Macaca fascicularis: one gene and its partners. The protein of the gene in region 1 purifies or fractionates together with the protein of each later gene. This does not show direct contact. Links are inferred from orthologs where the notes say so. Each region holds a gene or a part of one and is shown in the gene's direction. Other genes may lie near its edges.

Region 1 (3,560 bases):
ATTACAGAAGTCACACATTATTTAGTCACAGTTCAGCATTTGACTCTGAAGTCGATTCAGCTGATAAAAATATCTCTTGATCAAAGAGACAAGACATTTTACATTTCTTTTAATTAGAACCAGTTATTATATACTTATTTAAAAATGTGATGAGTCACTTTTTTAAGGTTTAGAAGAAAAGCTGAGTTGTCTCAGGGAGAAGGAAACTCATCATCTGAAGTGTTTTAAGAACTGTCAGCGATTTGAATACCCAGAACCAGCAAAGAAAAAACTCCAAACCAGAACAGTCCTTCACCCACAGAAGTGTTTGTTTGCCTGTCATTAAAGCGGTGGGATAAATCTAGCATCTGCCATGACCTGTTTTATTGAGGAAGGTTTACTTTTCAAATGTAGTCATTCCAGTGGGGTTGCCATTCAGATTCAGATTGTCACACAGTGAGGAAATTGCCTCCTTGCACATCTTCAGAATAAGATCAATGATTTTATAGGTTGGCCTTTTTGAATACTGATAGTTTTTACCCCTTGTAGAAACCTTAATTGGGTATAAAAGACCCAGAATTTCCTAGTCCACGTACTACTTAAGTTCCTAAGAAGGATTAAGCATTTTCAGAGATTTTTAGTTGTCTATACATGTTACTAAATTTTATAAAAGTGGGCAGTTTGTCATGATCCTCCTGATGTATAATAGCTTTCTAAAAATGTTAGGATAATTAACATAATTGCTTAGTATTTCAAGCCTGCTTTTTAAGGGCGACTTGACTATAATAACTCCTTCTCAGGGAGAGTCGAGTAGAAAAGAAATTTTTCTTTTAAGGTCAACAGACTGGAGGTCTGCCTTATAAATGTAAGTGTAAAGATAAGCAAAAAAAAGCCCAAGAGAAAAGCATTGCAGTATAGCCTCACTCTGTAAATAATATTTGGTCACTGTTAGCCTTAGGGGTAACATGATCTATGTGACTGTACTGATGATTTGGAAGGGGGATTGTTGAAATGGCTTCAGGATGAAAGTATTTGAAATTCTGGACTTTATATGTCACACTGGGTGTGAAGAGATACGTTACTAATGGTAAATTCTTTCTGAGAGAGATAACTGATTATGATTAGTTTCTAAACCATTAAGCTATTTTGAGTCTTCTCTGTTTTGCAATAAACTCTGTCCATAAAAATGGTGTTATACCTGATTTCCAAACCTGATTATGTATCAGAATCACTTTGGGAGCATTTATGAAATACACATTATTGAGCCCTACATGCAGAGATCTTGAGTCATTCAAGTCTGGTGTCTCAGAAATCCTTTTTAGTACTCTAGCTTATTCTGATGCAGAGCTAGGCTTGGAAATAATTTCAATATTTGTGCTAATTATCGTAAAATTTTCTTTTAAAAGAAGTATTAGGAGTAAAACAAGTCCAAATTACAGCCAATACCAAATTGGGAAACAAGATGTTTAATTTACTAGTGTCCTAGTCCTTTTGGGCCGCTGTGACAAACTGTTACAGAATGGGAGGCTTAAGCAACAAACATTTATTTCTCATCGTCTGGACACTGGGAAGTCCAAGATCAAGGCACCAGAAGATTCGGGTCTGGGGAGGGCTTGTTTTCCTGTTTAACAGACAACGTCCTCTACTTGTGTTCTCACGTGGTGGAAGGGGCAAGGGAGCTCATTAGAATCTCTTTTATAAGGACATTAATCCGATTCATGAATGCTCCACCCTCATGACCTAACCATCTCCCAAAGACTCCACCACCTAATACTATCCTGGGTGATCAGGATTTCAACAGAGGGATTTTAGAATGATAGAAACATTGAGTTGCAGCCCATCGCACCTAGAGACTTTCATCTATACTGGCCTTTTTCTCTATTGCACTAGTTCGTTTAAATTCAGCCTTACTATGGTGGCATAAGAAAGAATGAATAAGACCTAGTATTTGGTAGCACATAATAAAATTGTATAATTTTAAAATAAGTGTAATTGGATTGTTTGTAACTCAAAGGATAAATGCTTGAGGGGTCGGATACCCCATTCTCTATGATGTGCGTATTTCACGTTGCATGCCTGTATCAAAATATCTCATGTACCCCATAAATATACACCTACTATATACCCACAAAAATTAAAAATAAAAGTAAAAAATATTAAATTGTTTGCATAGTAATTTATTAAATAATATATCCCAATTTTTACTTTATTAAAATGGTATAATTGTTTATTAATGAATGCCAAGCTAACATAATTATTGAGGCTTTTATTAAAGAATTAAAATATGAGAGATTATTTAAAATAAAATTTTTAGGAAAATAATTTTTTGAGCTGTATCCTTAAAATTTTTACTAGTTCTTCAACCGAGTTCTGCATTTTTGAGGGCATGTAGTATAAACATAAACAGGAACATTTTAGACTGTGAACATGGTAAACACTGGAATTAGATCTTACTCAAAAACATAGTTGTAATTTCTCTGTGCCTCCACATTAAAAAAAATTTTTTATGGGTACATAGTATGTGTATATATGTACAGGGTACATAAGCTATTTTGATAACAGCATACAATGCATAATGATGACATCAGGGTAAATGGAGTAGCCATCACTTTAAGCATTTATCATTTCTTTGGGCATATCTCCACATTTTTAAAAAGAAAATTTTGACATAATGTGGATATGAAAAAACATAGAGTACATAACACAGAGTAAAAGAACACAGTGCTACCATATATTTTAAAAAATGCTGTGATAGCGCCTCCTTGTGGGCAGAGCCCAACATGTTGGTCAGATTTCTGTTATGTATGAAAGTAAACATACTTCCTTAAAAAAAAAAAAAGAAAACAGTATTTTATGGGGTTCTGTATTATATTTTGTGCTTGATGAAATAAAAATATGAAATGAGTTGCATTAAAAATATACTGATGTTAATCTTTTATTTCAGAATCTTCAATCATTGCTTCTTGTAGGGAATAAAATAAAACTATTTGTATAGCTTTTCCCCCATAAAATTTACCTTTTAACTGTCTTTTATTTGATATTCTGCCTTTAGGACAGGGTAACCTTCAGGAGAATAATTGTGAAAAACAATGCCAAAAAGAGAAAAATGTATGAAAGCTTTATTGAGTCACTGCCATTCCTTAAATCTTTGGAGGTAAGTGCATGTTTATACTTTTATTTTATTTTGCTTTAAAAGTTTCTGTTTTGCTAGGAATATTTAGTTCTATAGAAAAATTTCCTTGAATAAAAAAAATTTATCCATGTTTTTATTTGAAGAGATTAAGTGGTAATGCTAGTTTTTATAACTCATTGTTTCTTCTGCTATCTATAATTGCATTTGTTTTGTTATTTGAAAGTTGTTTTGTATAATTGCATTCCTACCCCGCATCTATAGCACATGTATATGTGGTCTTTATCTAATAGCAGACGTCATACAATCACATAGATGTAGGCAAGAGCCACTAGTTGTAACTTTACAGGGAGGCGTTCTCTAGATAGAAGATGTCCTCTCTGGCCTCTTCCTCTCAGTCATCTTTGCTGTTTATTCCTCTTTTCTTCTCCTCTTAAAACTGGCATTCCAG
Region 2 (4,243 bases), on another chromosome or scaffold:
GCAAGTGATTGCTGCGGTTGTTCCTCTTGTTCCGTGTCTGAATGCCTCTCAAGTCAGGAAGAGAATTCTTTATTAAAAATGGCCGGAGGGCGCGGTGGCTTAAGCCTGTAATCCCAGCACTTTGGGAGGCCCAGGCGGGCGGATCAGGAGCTCAGAAGATCAAGACCATCCTAGCTAACACGGTGAAACCCCGTCTCTACTAAAAAAATATGAAAAATTAGCCGGGCGTGGTGGCGGGCGCCTGTAGTCCCAGCTGCTCGGGAGGCTGAGGCAGGAGAATGGCGTGAGCCCGGGAGGCGAAGGTTGCAGTGAGCCGAGATCGCGCCACTGCACTCAAAAAAAAAAATGGCCGGAGGTACCTGCATCCCACCTAGTCAGGGCTCTAGCTTCCCTCCTCTTTGTGTGCAATCCAAGTTTTAGACCCAAGGGTGGAGGACCTACCACTGTACAGTGCTGAGTAAGACAGGGTTCTCACCGAAGTCAGCGAAGTTCCCAGTCCTTTCTGGCGCGAGCTGCATTCCCAGACACTCCAGCTCTTGCCGAAAGGAGCTCCGTCTTTTGCGCTAGTGTTTGTCTACCCTCCCCTGCCCTAAAATAATGAATGCCCTCTACCTGAGGGAGAGACTTCAGTGGCGGTAATCTACTCGCGGCTGGCTGCATCCTTGAAAAAGCACATTTCCCTTCTACTATCTTCAAGATCTTGGTTAACCAGATTCACATTGTATTTGCAGGACGCTTTCTCAGGTGACTGCTCAGTGCTCTTTTTTACCGAAAGTAGGGCAAAGTCCCCCAAGGGTGCTAACCCTCCCCCACCCACATCAAGGAAGAAACAGTCCTCTACTCTTTTCTGGACATTCCGGTTCAGAGTCGAGGTAAGGGTTGCATGGCCCCGCCCCACCCGCCCCTCCGTTACCAAGCCTTCCCCCGCCCGCCTCGCAGTCTCAGGGCCTTAGAACCCAGGCGGGGCGAGGCCGGGAGAGGTGGGGCTGCTGGCTGGAGGCGGCGGCGGCGCGCAGCGGTACCTAGCGGCGCTGCCCGGCTGGCAGCCGGAGGACGTGGCACTGTCCGAGGATCCAGGGGGAGGGGATTCGGCCTTCTCCTCCCCGCGAGGAGGAGCCTCGGGACATCCTGCAGAGGCGGGAGGATCCTTGAGGGCACTGGTGCGCCTTTCAGGTGAGCTCTTAGCAGATAAAAGCGGCTGGCTGTGGTCCGCGCCAGTAGTGCTTTCTGCTCTGCACTCCCAGTGAGCCAGGTGCGCAACCGGAGTGGGGGCGAGGGGCGTGCTGGCCACCCCGCATGCGCAGAGCCGGGAGCCCGCTGACCGGACTACAGCTCCCAGAGGAGCCTTGTGGAAGCCGCAGACGTGGAGCCGCTGGCGCCATCTTGAAATCTGATCCTCAATCCCCGAGCCTTTGAGTCTGCGCGGCGGGCCGCTGCTGCTCCGGGAGCCCAGTCTGTTAAAAGGGTAGGACGTTGAGGACGCGGCGGCTGGCGGGAGAGACAGCTGGGGAGAGACATGGCAGGGTCGGAGCGCGGCCTGCGCCTCTGTCACTCAGCATCCTCTTAGACGTTTCCACGCCCGCCCCCTGCCCAAGGGGCGGGGCTGACGGCTGTGGTACCCGGAGCCGGCGCACGGGGTAGGGGTGCACCCCTGCAGAGTGAGGACCCCACTGGGCTGTGCCATGCTGACTGGAGACCACTGAGGCGGGAGACAGAGCGCGGCGAAGAGCCATTGAGTGGTCATCCAGTAGCCGCCGCCGCCGCCGCCTCAGGAAGCTTGGCACCCGCTAGGAGGGAAGATGAAGGAGATTTGCAGGATCTGTGCCCGAGAGCTGTGTGGAAACCAGCGGCGCTGGATCTTCCACACAGCGTCCAAGCTGAACCTCCAGGTTCTGCTTTCGCACGTCCTGGGCAAGGATGTCCCCCGCGATGGCAAAGCCGAGTTCGCTTGCAGCAAGTGTGCTTTCATGCTTGATCGAATCTATCGATTCGACACGGTTATTGCCCGGATCGAAGCTCTTTCTATTGAGCGCTTGCAAAAGCTGCTACTGGAGAAAGATCGCCTCAAGTTCTGCATTGCCAGTATGTATCGGAAGAATAACGATGACTCTGGCCCGGAGGTCAAGGCGGGGAATGGGACGGTTGACATGTCTGTCTTACCTGATGCGAGATACTCTGCACTGCTCCAGGAGGACTTCGCCTATTCAGGGTTTGAGTGCTGGGTGGAGAATGAGGATCAGATCCAGGAGCCACACAGTTGCCATGGTTCGGAAGGCCCTGGAAACCGACCCAGGAGATGCCGTGGTTGTGCAGCTTTGCGGGTTGCTGATTCTGACTATGAAGCCATTTGTAAGGTACCTCGAAAGGTGGCCAGAAGTATCTCCTGTGGCCCTTCTAGCAGGTGGTCGACCAGCATTTGCACTGAAGAACCAGCGTTGTCTGAGGTTGGGCCACCCGACTTAGCAAGCACAAAGGTACCCCCAGATGGAGAAAGCATGGAGGAAGAGACGCCGGGTTCCTCTGTGGAATCTTTGGATGCAAGCGTCCACGCTAGCCCTCCACAACAGAAAGATGAGGAGACTGAGAGAAGTGCAAAGGAACTTGGAAAGTGTGACTGTTGTTCAGATGATCAGGCTCCGCCGCATGGGTGTAATCACAAGCTGGAGTTAGCTCTTAGCATGATTAAAGGTCTTGATTATAAGCCCATCCAGAGCCCCCGAGGGAGCAGGCTTCCGATTCCAGTGAAATCCAGCCCACCTGGAGCCAAGCCTGGCCATAGCATGACAGATGGAGTTAGTTCCGGGTTCCTTAACAGGTCTTTGAAACCCCTTTACAAGACACCTGTGAGTTACCCCTTGGAGCTTTCAGACCTGCAGGAGCTGTGGGATGATCTCTGTGAAGATTATTTGCCGCTCCGGGTCCAGGTATACAAAACGGCTACACAGTGCCTTTCTGATTATAGCTAGCTGGCCTCTGGCTTCACATGATTTCGGTCTAGGTGGAGGTTAGTAATATTCTAGACTTGAGAAAATTAGTCATGAGCCCATTTTTGCTGCACCTTTTCTGTGTCTCATTTAGTAAACGTGATTCGTACTCAGATAATTTGCTTTTCACAGTCTTTGTAAAATCTGTTGGCCTTCCCATTATCAAAATTGTATACCTTTTAAAACAAAAAGGTAAAGATTCCCACTTCACTTTTATCCTGTAAAAAGAAGACATTTAATCTCATTTCTGGCACTAGAACTTTTCCTCTTATCTCCTTTTCTTTCTTTTTTTTTTTTTTTTTTTTTTAACAACTTTTAAAATTTGTTCTTGTTTTCAGATTTATAGACGTTTCCTCCCAATGGCTTTCTGTAAGGCAGTTAGTTCTCTAGTTAGTTCTTCCCAGAGCATTGAAGCTTTCATCCGCAAAATGCCTGTAAATGATTAGAGCATAAGGTAAAAGGTTTGGGGGAAACCTATTAATCCACCAGTAAAGTATTATAACATCTGGACAATATTTATTATAATGAATAGTTCATTTGAGGATTAGTGATGACTCATTCATAAAAGAGACAGGAATTCAAGTATTCAAGTACAGTATTGTCACTCAAAACGTTAAGGCATAAACTGTTCACAGCCAGAACTCTGCTGAGTTCTACTGGAAGATATTTGATATTAAGAAAGGATTAACCCATTATTGGATCAGAGGAGAGTTTCATTCATTATAGTCTTGAATTCTTAATGACTAGAGGATGGCAGTTGCTTAATTTGAACCATTCATGTCTGCCCAATTGATTCTATACCAACCTTTTAAATTCAGCTATGGTAGTTTGTTTCTATAGCAACAGTAAATGCTAGGTTCAGTTAACTTTGTGAAACATACTGGCATGTTCCACTTGATACAACTTATTTAGCGATACTGTCACAAAGGTAGATGTGATCTAGAAGGCATTTTTAGAAAGCCTGCTACTGGTCAACATCATTCCAGAAATTTAGAGCTTGATAAGTAACATTGTTGATGGTCACATGAAACTTTTGGAAAGTAGTTCTGTGGTATGTATACTTTCTTTCACCATAAGAACCTAAGCAGAAAACAGGAGAAAAGTTTTTAAATTTACACAAAATTATGAGTAGCAGCATAGATGAGAAACAGCAGAGATGAAAGTGTCATGAAAGGTAAAAAGTCAGTGCGTTTTCATTTGTATAAAATGTATGTACTTCTTTTCTTTTGCTTTTCCTTTCAGTGGAGCCTCAGCTGAAT
Region 3 (4,212 bases), on another chromosome or scaffold:
CTACAGCCTGGGTGACAGAGACTCCTCAAAAAATAAAAAATAAAATAAAATAAAACAGAGAGTCCAGGGGAGACTTCACTGAGTCTGAGTAGCTGACCTTTGAGCAAAGGACTTGAAAGAGGTGAGAGAGTGAGCTTTGCAGAATATTCCATGTGGAGGGAGGCCCTGAGGTAGAGTCATGACTGGCTTTGGGACTAAGAGTAGAATAAAATCCAAGCTTCACTATTTACTGTGGCAAATACTAAGTATTTACTAAGGCAGCCCAGGCCCCTATTCCCCCAAAAAACAAAGACAAGAAACGATCCTCTTTATCTCCTTTCCTGACACTGCCTCCGTCAATACATACCATCCACACTGGTCTTCCAGTTTAACAGAAGTTGCTTCCTACTTTTCCTGTGTTATGCATCTGCTAGGAATACTCCTCCAACCCTTATGCCCATATACAATTTGCAAGGCTGGTTCCTTCTCATCCAATAGGTCTCAGTTTAAATTTCACTTTAGGCCTTTTCTGACCACAGGACCTAAAACAGGGCTCTTTTTCTTTCTTTCCTATGTCAGTTTCCTATTTGTTTCTTTCCTGACATCTACCACACCATGCAATTGGGATTCATATATAAATGAATTTGACTTAAATCTCATTATAGTAAATGGCATCTGTCATTTAAATTTGCATTTGATCACTAGTGAAGATTAAGCATATTCCCAAGTAATTGTTAGTTCTTAGCATTATCTATTTTCTATATTTTGGCCAAATAAATGCTCATTTAAAGTCACTTTGTTTTAAGGATGAGAGCAGGGCTGACCAGTCAAAACCCTACCGTCTCCATTTATTTTGGGGGAATTTATTTTCCCAAGTTCCTGGCAGAGATAGTGACTCACCGTGACTATCTCTGCAAGAATCATTCCACAACCCAAACCAATTCAGAGAAGTGTTTCATTTCGATGACATCAAGTTGTAAAAACGGGCAAGAAAGTTGCATTTGAGGGGTACCAGGTTTCACCATTACGCAGCTAACTGAGCAATTGTTAATGGCCAACTCAATTATACGTTACAAGGAAATGACGGTCACAGGGAAGCTCAAAGCCCTGAAGCGAGTGAAGCCCTGCTCCTCACCGGCCCCTCTGCCTTTTCCAGGGCGCTCTCCGTCCCGAGGCAGGAGATGGCCTGGCTGACCCTTCGAGCTAAGGCGGCAGAACCGGTGCTGGGCTGGCGGGGCAGGGCATCAATGGTCCTCCGAGTTCTGTACCGTCCCGCCCGGCCCCTCCGCCGGGCACCGACGAGATGACGGCTCCTCTCGCGAGAGCTCGAGCAAGACCCGGCTCGGGGCGGCGGCTGGATGTTAGCCCAGCGCTTTAGACCGCGCCCCCTCTGGCGCAGCTGGCAGAGGCGCGGCGGAGGCACTGCCGCGAGCTGCCGGCGGCGCGCACGCGCAGGTGAGCGGGGCGGGCTCGGGAGCGCGGGGGCACGAGGGCGAGGGGCGGGACCTGCGTCGCGCTGCGGGCACGTCGCCGCGAGTCTCCAGTATTTAATGTCTCTGTGTTCCACCGGCCTGGGCGAGCACGTGGGGGAGCTGCGGAAGAGTGGCGTTGCGGGCCGGGCCACGGGGCACAGCCGGGGGCCGGCGGCGGCGTGCGGACTCCGCACCCCGCACCCCGACGGTCGCCGAGGAGCTGGTAGGTCGGGGGCGGCTGCGCCGGGGACCCCCTGCCGGAGCCCCGAAGGCGTCGGGGTCAGGGCGATGGGGAGCCTGAGGTGCAGGTGCAGGATGCGACGCGCGCTCCAGGTACCCCGGGGGTGGGACGCTCCGGACGCAGAGGTGTCCTGGGGGCTCTTGGCCGCCGCGCGCTGTCAGGCCCATCTTTCCCTCCCTCGCCTGCGCTCCCTCTCCTCCTCCCCCGCCGGTTGTCTGCCGGCGGGCTCCTGACAGATCGCGTGTGCGCGGTTCTGGGCGGCGCTCTGCGGCCGCGCCGTCCTCCCCACGCGCGTCACTGTCCTCGGGGGCGGGGGGCGAGGGCGCGGCGCCCGGGTCGCCTCTCTGCGCCTCAACTTTACCGGAGCGCGCACACCCGCCTGCCAGGCTGACCCGAGCGCGTCCCACCCAAGGTCGCCCAGCCCCGCGGGCGTTTACTTTTCAAAGGTCGTGTGTACACAGTCTGAGCCGGAGCTACCCCTTCACTTATGGAGCCTCACCCAACTTCTCACCCTCGGCTCGCCCCTGGGAGTTCCGTGCGGCGAGCCAGGGGAACCGGGAATATGGGCCGGGACATCCGCCGGTTGTGATCCAACCGTGTTTCGGGCTGAGGGACCGTTCGAATCGAGTTGGGGTCTGGAGGTTGGAGGCTCAGGGGCGTCTCGGGGGGATTTGCATTCGTAGCCCCCGCAGGCGTGTCCGGAGGGACAGAGGCCGTCCAACCTGGGGTGTCTGCCGACCTCAGGCCCGGGGACGCCGAGGGTCACGTGTCCGGAGCCGCCTGCGGCCCAGCGCCCCGGGTCCGCGATCTGGAGGGACCGTGCGGGTTTCGGGGTTACGATGTGCTAGGAGAGACAGTGGCTGGACGCCTCGAACGCGGGCTTTCTGGCGTTCAACTCTTTTGTGCCCTAGCTGAAGGTCTTCTTGTTTCCCTTCCAGGGAGGGATAGGAGAAGAAAGGTGCTGATCGTGGTGGGCCCTGCTGTGGCGACTCGGAACGGCATGGGAGCCCTGGGCGTTTCGGGATCTTCCTCTCCCGGGGGATGTCCTGGGTGACGGCACCTTCCTGCCGCGGTTAACACAAACCCGGTGGACTTCGCTCCAGGTGCTTGTCGAGGCCTCTCAAGCTGGCTAGGGTGTATGCGCAGGGCAATTAGTGAGGTTAACCTGGGTATCTTTCTCGTACTGTAGTGCGCGTTACTTAGTGTTTAAATTTGTCTCCAGTGAAATCTAGGCTGCTGGACCTGGTGCAACAGTATCTGTTAGTTACTGATCAAGGAACACCGTTCACAAAAAGCTATTAATTCTGGCAACTAGTAACCTTACATGCTCATGTAACTGCTAAGTCCTTCCCAAATTAGTACCCTTTTTTTAAAAAAAAAACTCTTTATTTAGAAAGCAAAGCTTGGACTCTTAGCACCACCCATCCACTTTGCTCTTAAAGGTACAGAACATCTTTGAAATGAAGAGGGCTGCCTGACTTGATCATTTATATGATTCCTCTGTTCTTGGCATTCAAGTGGTTCACCTGCTGATTATTTAAGACCCTGAGCACTGGAAGCAAGTGAAGTTTTGTTTTGGGAGCCTTTTGACTTGTGTTGAACCTTTCTTCTTTAACCTCTAACTAGTTTTGTAGGTTCTGCATAATCATTCCTGGGTGTATTCTCTTTGAAATATGGCCCTAGGTTAGAGGAGGTCCCCTGCATCCTACAGGTATGCAAATCACTAAAGCTCGAGTCTGTTACTGAATTAAATAGGCTCTGTCTTCATGCATGTTGTTAGATGGTGCCTCAGAACTTGCAGGTCATAGCCAGTGAGTGAGATAGGTCTAATGGATTTGCGTCTAGGTGGGGTTCCTTGTAGGAATATCTCCCATCTCTCAGCTGTTTCTAGGAAATGCATTCTCACTTGGCCACTGCAGGGTGACAGTGGAGGTGTCTGTTGTAAGTGGCCTGCTGAGGTGCTGAAGTCGGTATGTCTCCACTGTAAGGTTGCTGAACATCAATATTTAAAAGCAATTTATCTTGCTACCTGGTAACCCAAATTATTCTTGAGCTTTGGACATAGGCTGGGTTGCAGCCATATTTTAGGGGAAGGCTGGTGTTAGCCTCTACAGTATTCCCTTTTCCTGTCCTAAAGACAAATGGAGATCATATTTGTGATACTGGGGACTGTGATAGGTGCTTAAGCATTGCTCTTCCCCTCTCCTCCCTAAACAAGCCCTGAGACTGACTTTGTTTCTCTTGAATTACTTGAGTGACTTGAATTCTATTAAAAGCACCCCTCTCCTTAGCCTCTGACCCAGAAGCTTGTTTGGGAGGAAAAACAAATTGGTTTCCCTAAGCTTTGCTGGCTAGCCTCCTGGTCCCAGCCTGCAACATGACTTGATTGTGTGTGCGTTTCAGGGCTTTGAAGATCAGGCAGCTTGTAGCCAATGTACCCAGAGAGCTGACCATAGAGTTCCCCTAGGTCCCTCTTTCCTAAATCTTACCTGTGAGTCTAGAATGACTGGGCCTCTCTGT
Region 4 (4,342 bases), on another chromosome or scaffold:
CACACACACACAATTGCAAAATATGGTAAGTGCCACAAAGGAATAATTTGCATTGCTAGGAATACAAGAAGTGGCTTGATTTAGATTAAATGATTAGGGAAGGCTTCTTTTGAAAAGTATCAATAATTGCTTAATGATGTAATTGAAGAATGAGGGCCTGGTGCAGTGGCTCAGGCCTATAACCCCAGCACTTTGGGAGGCCAAGTGGGAGTATTGCTTGAGGCCAGGAGTTCAAGACCAGTCTAGGCAACATAGTGAGACCCTGTCTCTATTAAAAAAAAAAAAAAAAAAGAATGAGGAAACTGAGGGTGAAACGGGAATTGTTCAAGATTACTGGGGAAGTCACTATCTATCCACTCACCAATGGTTTCAAGTTATTTTCATCCGGTGCTCTCACAAGCACCTGCAGAGGAAGGAGCAACACTGAGTTGAGGAGGGGAAGGTTGATTTCATTGCTTAAGCTCTGCCAAGATTATCTAAGTGTTTGGTGATTGCTATGTGCTTTAAGAAAGGCGGCCAAGGGGCCGGGTGCTGTGGCTCATGCCTGTAATTCCAGCACTTTGGGAGGCTGAAGCGGGCAGACCACGAGGTCAAAAGATCGAGACCATCCTGGCCAACATGGTGAATCTACATGGTCTCTACTAAAGATACAAAAATTACCTGGGCGTGGTGGCGCTGCGCCTGTAATCTCAGCTACTTGGGAGGCTGAGGCAGGAGAATCGCTTAAACCCGGGAGGTGAAGGTGGAGATGGAGGTTGCAGTGAGCTGAGATCGCGCCACCGCACTCCAGCCTGGCGACAGAGTGAGGCGCCGTCTCAAAAAGAAAAAAAAAAAAAAGACAAAAATGAAAGGCAGTCAGGGTTATGCAGAGGGCCCTCATCTAGTTGGCAGGAGCTGCAGACCCCGCTCCAGTTGAAAGACATTGTCAATACTTAATTACTTTGGGAGAGTCATTTCCTCTCGCTGGGCCTCAGTTTTCTGACCACAAGTGCCTTTTGAGTCCTAATAGTAATAAAAGATCAATAGGTGAGTGACTGGAGTGAGAGTGCTGTTGACCACTGACTCATGGGAGTAAGTTATTTGCTTCAAACTAAGTCTGCAAATTACTGTTTGCCTTGAGATTCCGCATGTAGGATTTTTCTGAAGCAAGGCAGCACTCAGTTATCTGAGTTTCAACTCAAGGTCAAATCCCAGTTTTGGGGTCACTATTCCAGAAAAGCAAACACGAGGTTAGGAAATTTGAGGATGCCTAAGGGGCTGTATTCATTCCCATCTCCCGCGTAAATTAACGGACTAGGGCCGGCTTTGGCCCTCAACAAAGATGGCACCCGCCCTCGCCTCGTCTTAAGTGCCCTCACAAAAAATGACAGCCGGCCTTTTTTTTCTCTTAGTTTTGCTGGCAAAAACACGGACGCTGTGCCCTTAGTTAAGATGGCACCTACCCCCGCTTCCCTGCCCGTCCTCTGGCGCCAGCCGGTCGGCTTCACTGCGTGCGCCTCGGTGACCCCGCCTCGTTTCCGTAGGAAGAAGCGCCGGGAAAGATGGCGGCGTCTGTGGTTTGAATTCCAGCGGCGCCGCCAGAGTCTGAACAAGCGCTGGGGTGGAGGGGGCGGGGACCCTGGGAGCTCGGCGGGTCGCTACCGCGGGGGGTACTAGTGGCGCCGCCGCCACTGACACCAACACCGCCACCACCTCTGTATCCATGATGGACTCGGTGTTGGAAGAGGACGTCACCCTCCTTGGGACGCTCAGCGGCTGCAGGTGCGGCCGGGGCATTGGTGGTCTTGGTAACCGGGCCGGGGTTCCAGCTGATGGGGTTTCACGCTAACGCGGCCTTGAGGTTTGCTTTTGAGGGTGTCTGGCCAGGGGCAAGTGTGTGGGGTGGGCTCCTTCGGAGAGGGTCTCTGGGGGGCCCACCAGCTGACACTTTGGGGGGCTGGGAGCCACGATCTGCACCACAGTTGCCTGTAGCATTGCACCACGTACTTTGTAGAGGGCTTGAAGAACAAGTAAGCGGTTTTGTGAAAGAGTAGGACCAGGGTGGGGCCACTTGGAGTATCCCGTTAGTGGGGATTGGTGCGGAACAGGGACCTTGAGGGCACCTGATGGTTCACTCTGGTTTGAGGGTTTGTTTTCATTATGGAGAGTGTAGCCGATATGCCCAGACTTTGCTTTTTGGGTCAGATAGTGGCCACCCAGGAGGCAATGGAGTGCCATGGTTAAGAGCCGTGGCTGGAGTTGGACAAAACTGGATTCAAATCCAGCCCTGTAAACTGACTAGCTGTGTGACCTTGGTAAAGTGATTTCACTGGCTTTCCCATCTGTAAAATGGGCTAGTAATATCTACCCAATAGAGTTGGGGTGAGGATTAAAAGAGGTGATGCCTGTCGAGCCATTAGCTTGGCACCTGTAGTGCCTGCCACATAATCAGTACTTAAAAAATGATCTTGTGTTGCCATTAGTGTTATTATTACTACTGTCATCAAAGGTGATATGAATCAGGGAATAATGGCCAAGAGTGGCCTCCCATGGACCTGCCCCAAGAGACTGGGAGTCCCCATTGCTGGTTGAGCTGGAGTCTGGTAGGAAGGCCTAATAGAGCACTACACTGCTTCAGGGCTGGCCCCTGTGGTTGTCCTGGACTCCTGGTTGGAGAGTGAGTAGAAGAAGGAAGAGGAGAGCCCTGACTGAGAACCTGCACTGTTTATCCAGCTCTACTAGGGACAAGCTGCTGCTTTTAGTCAACAGATCCTAATTGAAAGGGTAACCATGGTATTTATTGTGCTAACTGGGACACTTAAGAGTGAAAAGGGCCAGGCGCGGTGGCTCACCCCTGTAATCCCAGTCCTTGGGGAGGCTGAGGTGGGCCGATTTCTTGAGCTCAGGAGTGTGAGATCAGCCTGGGAAACATGGTGAAATCCTATCTCTACAAAAAATACAAAAATTAGCCAGGCATGGTGGCATGCACTTGTAGTCTCAGCCGCTCGGGAGGCTGAGGCAGGAGGATTGCTTGAGCCCGGAAGGTTGATGCTGCAGTGAGCTGTGTTCATGCCACTGCACTGTAGCCTGGGTGACAAAGTGAGGCTCTGTCTTAAAAAAAAAAAAAAGTGAAAATAATTAATATTTATGCCCGGGCAGCAGACATACATAGGGCCTATCTTGGGTAAACTTGGACAAATGGTTTTTCTGTTTATTGAGAACCTTCATGTATCAGGCACAGATTAAGATGCTTTGCAGTTCCTGTCTAATTGGGTCCTGTGATATTTCATCATGCCCTTTTCTGTCTGTTTTACTTCCACTGCCCCAATATATTTGGAGTATGGCTTCTCTCCTGTATTGTCCTTTGCACCTCTAATAGTTTTTTATACTACAGTTTGAAAACTATTATTTATTTATTTATTTATTTGAGTCTTGCTCTATCACCAGGCTGGAGTGCAGTGGCGCGATCTCGACTCACTGCAACCTCTGCCTCCCGGGTTCAAGCAATTCTCTTGCCTCAGCCTCCCCTATAGCTGGGATTACAGGAGTGCACCACCATGCCTGGCTAATTTTTGTATGTTTAGTAGAGACGGGGTTTCACCATGTTGGCCAGGACGGTCTCCATCTCCTTATCTCGTGATCTGCCCACCTTGGCCTCCCAAAGTGCTGAGATTATAGGTGTGAGCCACCATGCCCAGCCTGAGAACTATTTTTAAAATATAAATCTGCTCTTCACAGTCTGCTGCTTTATACTTTTAATGCTGCTTATTGCTGTTACCATAACTTCCATTATTATTCTCTCAGATAGCCATTCTCATTTCAGTGCTTGTTGGCCAAACACTTGGGTTTTGGGGTCCCAGGCCCAGCTGGGTTTCAATCCCAGTTCTGCTACTTAACAACCCCTTGATTTGGGGCAAGTCACTCATCCTCCGTGAGCCTCAGTGTTTATCATCTGTAAAAGGGGTTGGTGTAAAGCCTAGGGTTGGCATAAGGATTAAAATGAATCTTAAAAAGTTTAGTTCAGTGTCTGACCTGGAGTAACTACTCAACAGAACAGCAAACATTCTCCTTTCCCTCATCTCCCTCCTTTGCAGGACCTAGATACTGCATACATTCCATCTTAACCATTTTAAAGCATGGTTCAATTGTATTAAATCTATTTGTGTTATTGCTGAACTGTCACCACTATCTATCTTTGTAACTCTCCATCTTGCAAATGCAAAACAGAAACTCTGTCCCTGTTAAAACAGTAACTCCCTATTCCCCTCTTCTTCCAGCCTCTGACAATCACCAGTCTACTTTCTGTCTCTATGATTTTTTTTTTTTTTCCTAAGACAGGGTCTTGCTCTGTTGCCCAGGCTGG

What was found.
Region 2: the proteins of PRKAR2B (region 1) and PDE4DIPP2 purify together in Homo sapiens (affinity purification with mass spectrometry; 4 studies listed by BioGRID and IntAct, counting the BioPlex papers as one, with this or other methods). This does not show direct contact. The link is inferred for Macaca fascicularis from reciprocal best matches to the Homo sapiens genes PRKAR2B and PDE4DIP.
Region 3: the proteins of PRKAR2B (region 1) and AKAP1 purify together in Homo sapiens (affinity purification with mass spectrometry; 3 studies listed by BioGRID and IntAct, counting the BioPlex papers as one, with this or other methods). This does not show direct contact. The link is inferred for Macaca fascicularis from reciprocal best matches to the Homo sapiens genes PRKAR2B and AKAP1.
Region 4: the proteins of PRKAR2B (region 1) and CDK5RAP2 purify together in Homo sapiens (affinity purification with mass spectrometry; 3 studies listed by BioGRID and IntAct, counting the BioPlex papers as one, with this or other methods). This does not show direct contact. The link is inferred for Macaca fascicularis from reciprocal best matches to the Homo sapiens genes PRKAR2B and CDK5RAP2.

The regions. Positions count from the first base shown.
Region 1 is NC_088377.1:148,683,622-148,687,181, forward strand, and holds part of PRKAR2B (cAMP-dependent protein kinase type II-beta regulatory subunit), read left to right. Parts: intron 1-3,031; coding exon 3,032-3,133; intron 3,134-3,560. UniProt on the Homo sapiens protein: Regulatory subunit of the cAMP-dependent protein kinases involved in cAMP signaling in cells. Type II regulatory chains mediate membrane association by binding to anchoring proteins, including the MAP2 kinase.
Region 2 is NC_088375.1:114,058,729-114,062,971, reverse strand, and holds the start of PDE4DIPP2 (myomegalin), read left to right. Parts: upstream 1-1,414; 5' UTR 1,415-1,799; coding exon 1,800-2,924; intron 2,925-4,243. UniProt on the Homo sapiens protein: Functions as an anchor sequestering components of the cAMP-dependent pathway to Golgi and/or centrosomes.
Region 3 is NC_088390.1:49,631,695-49,635,906, reverse strand, and holds the start of AKAP1 (A-kinase anchor protein 1, mitochondrial), read left to right. Parts: upstream 1-1,383; 5' UTR 1,384-1,434; intron 1,435-1,552; exon of another isoform or gene 1,553-1,674; intron 1,675-2,010; exon of another isoform or gene 2,011-2,333; intron 2,334-2,630; exon of another isoform or gene 2,631-2,795; intron 2,796-4,212.
Region 4 is NC_088389.1:37,410,309-37,414,650, forward strand, and holds the start of CDK5RAP2 (CDK5 regulatory subunit-associated protein 2), read left to right. Parts: upstream 1-1,513; 5' UTR 1,514-1,702; coding exon 1,703-1,761; intron 1,762-4,342. UniProt on the Homo sapiens protein: Potential regulator of CDK5 activity via its interaction with CDK5R1. Negative regulator of centriole disengagement (licensing) which maintains centriole engagement and cohesion. Involved in regulation of mitotic spindle orientation.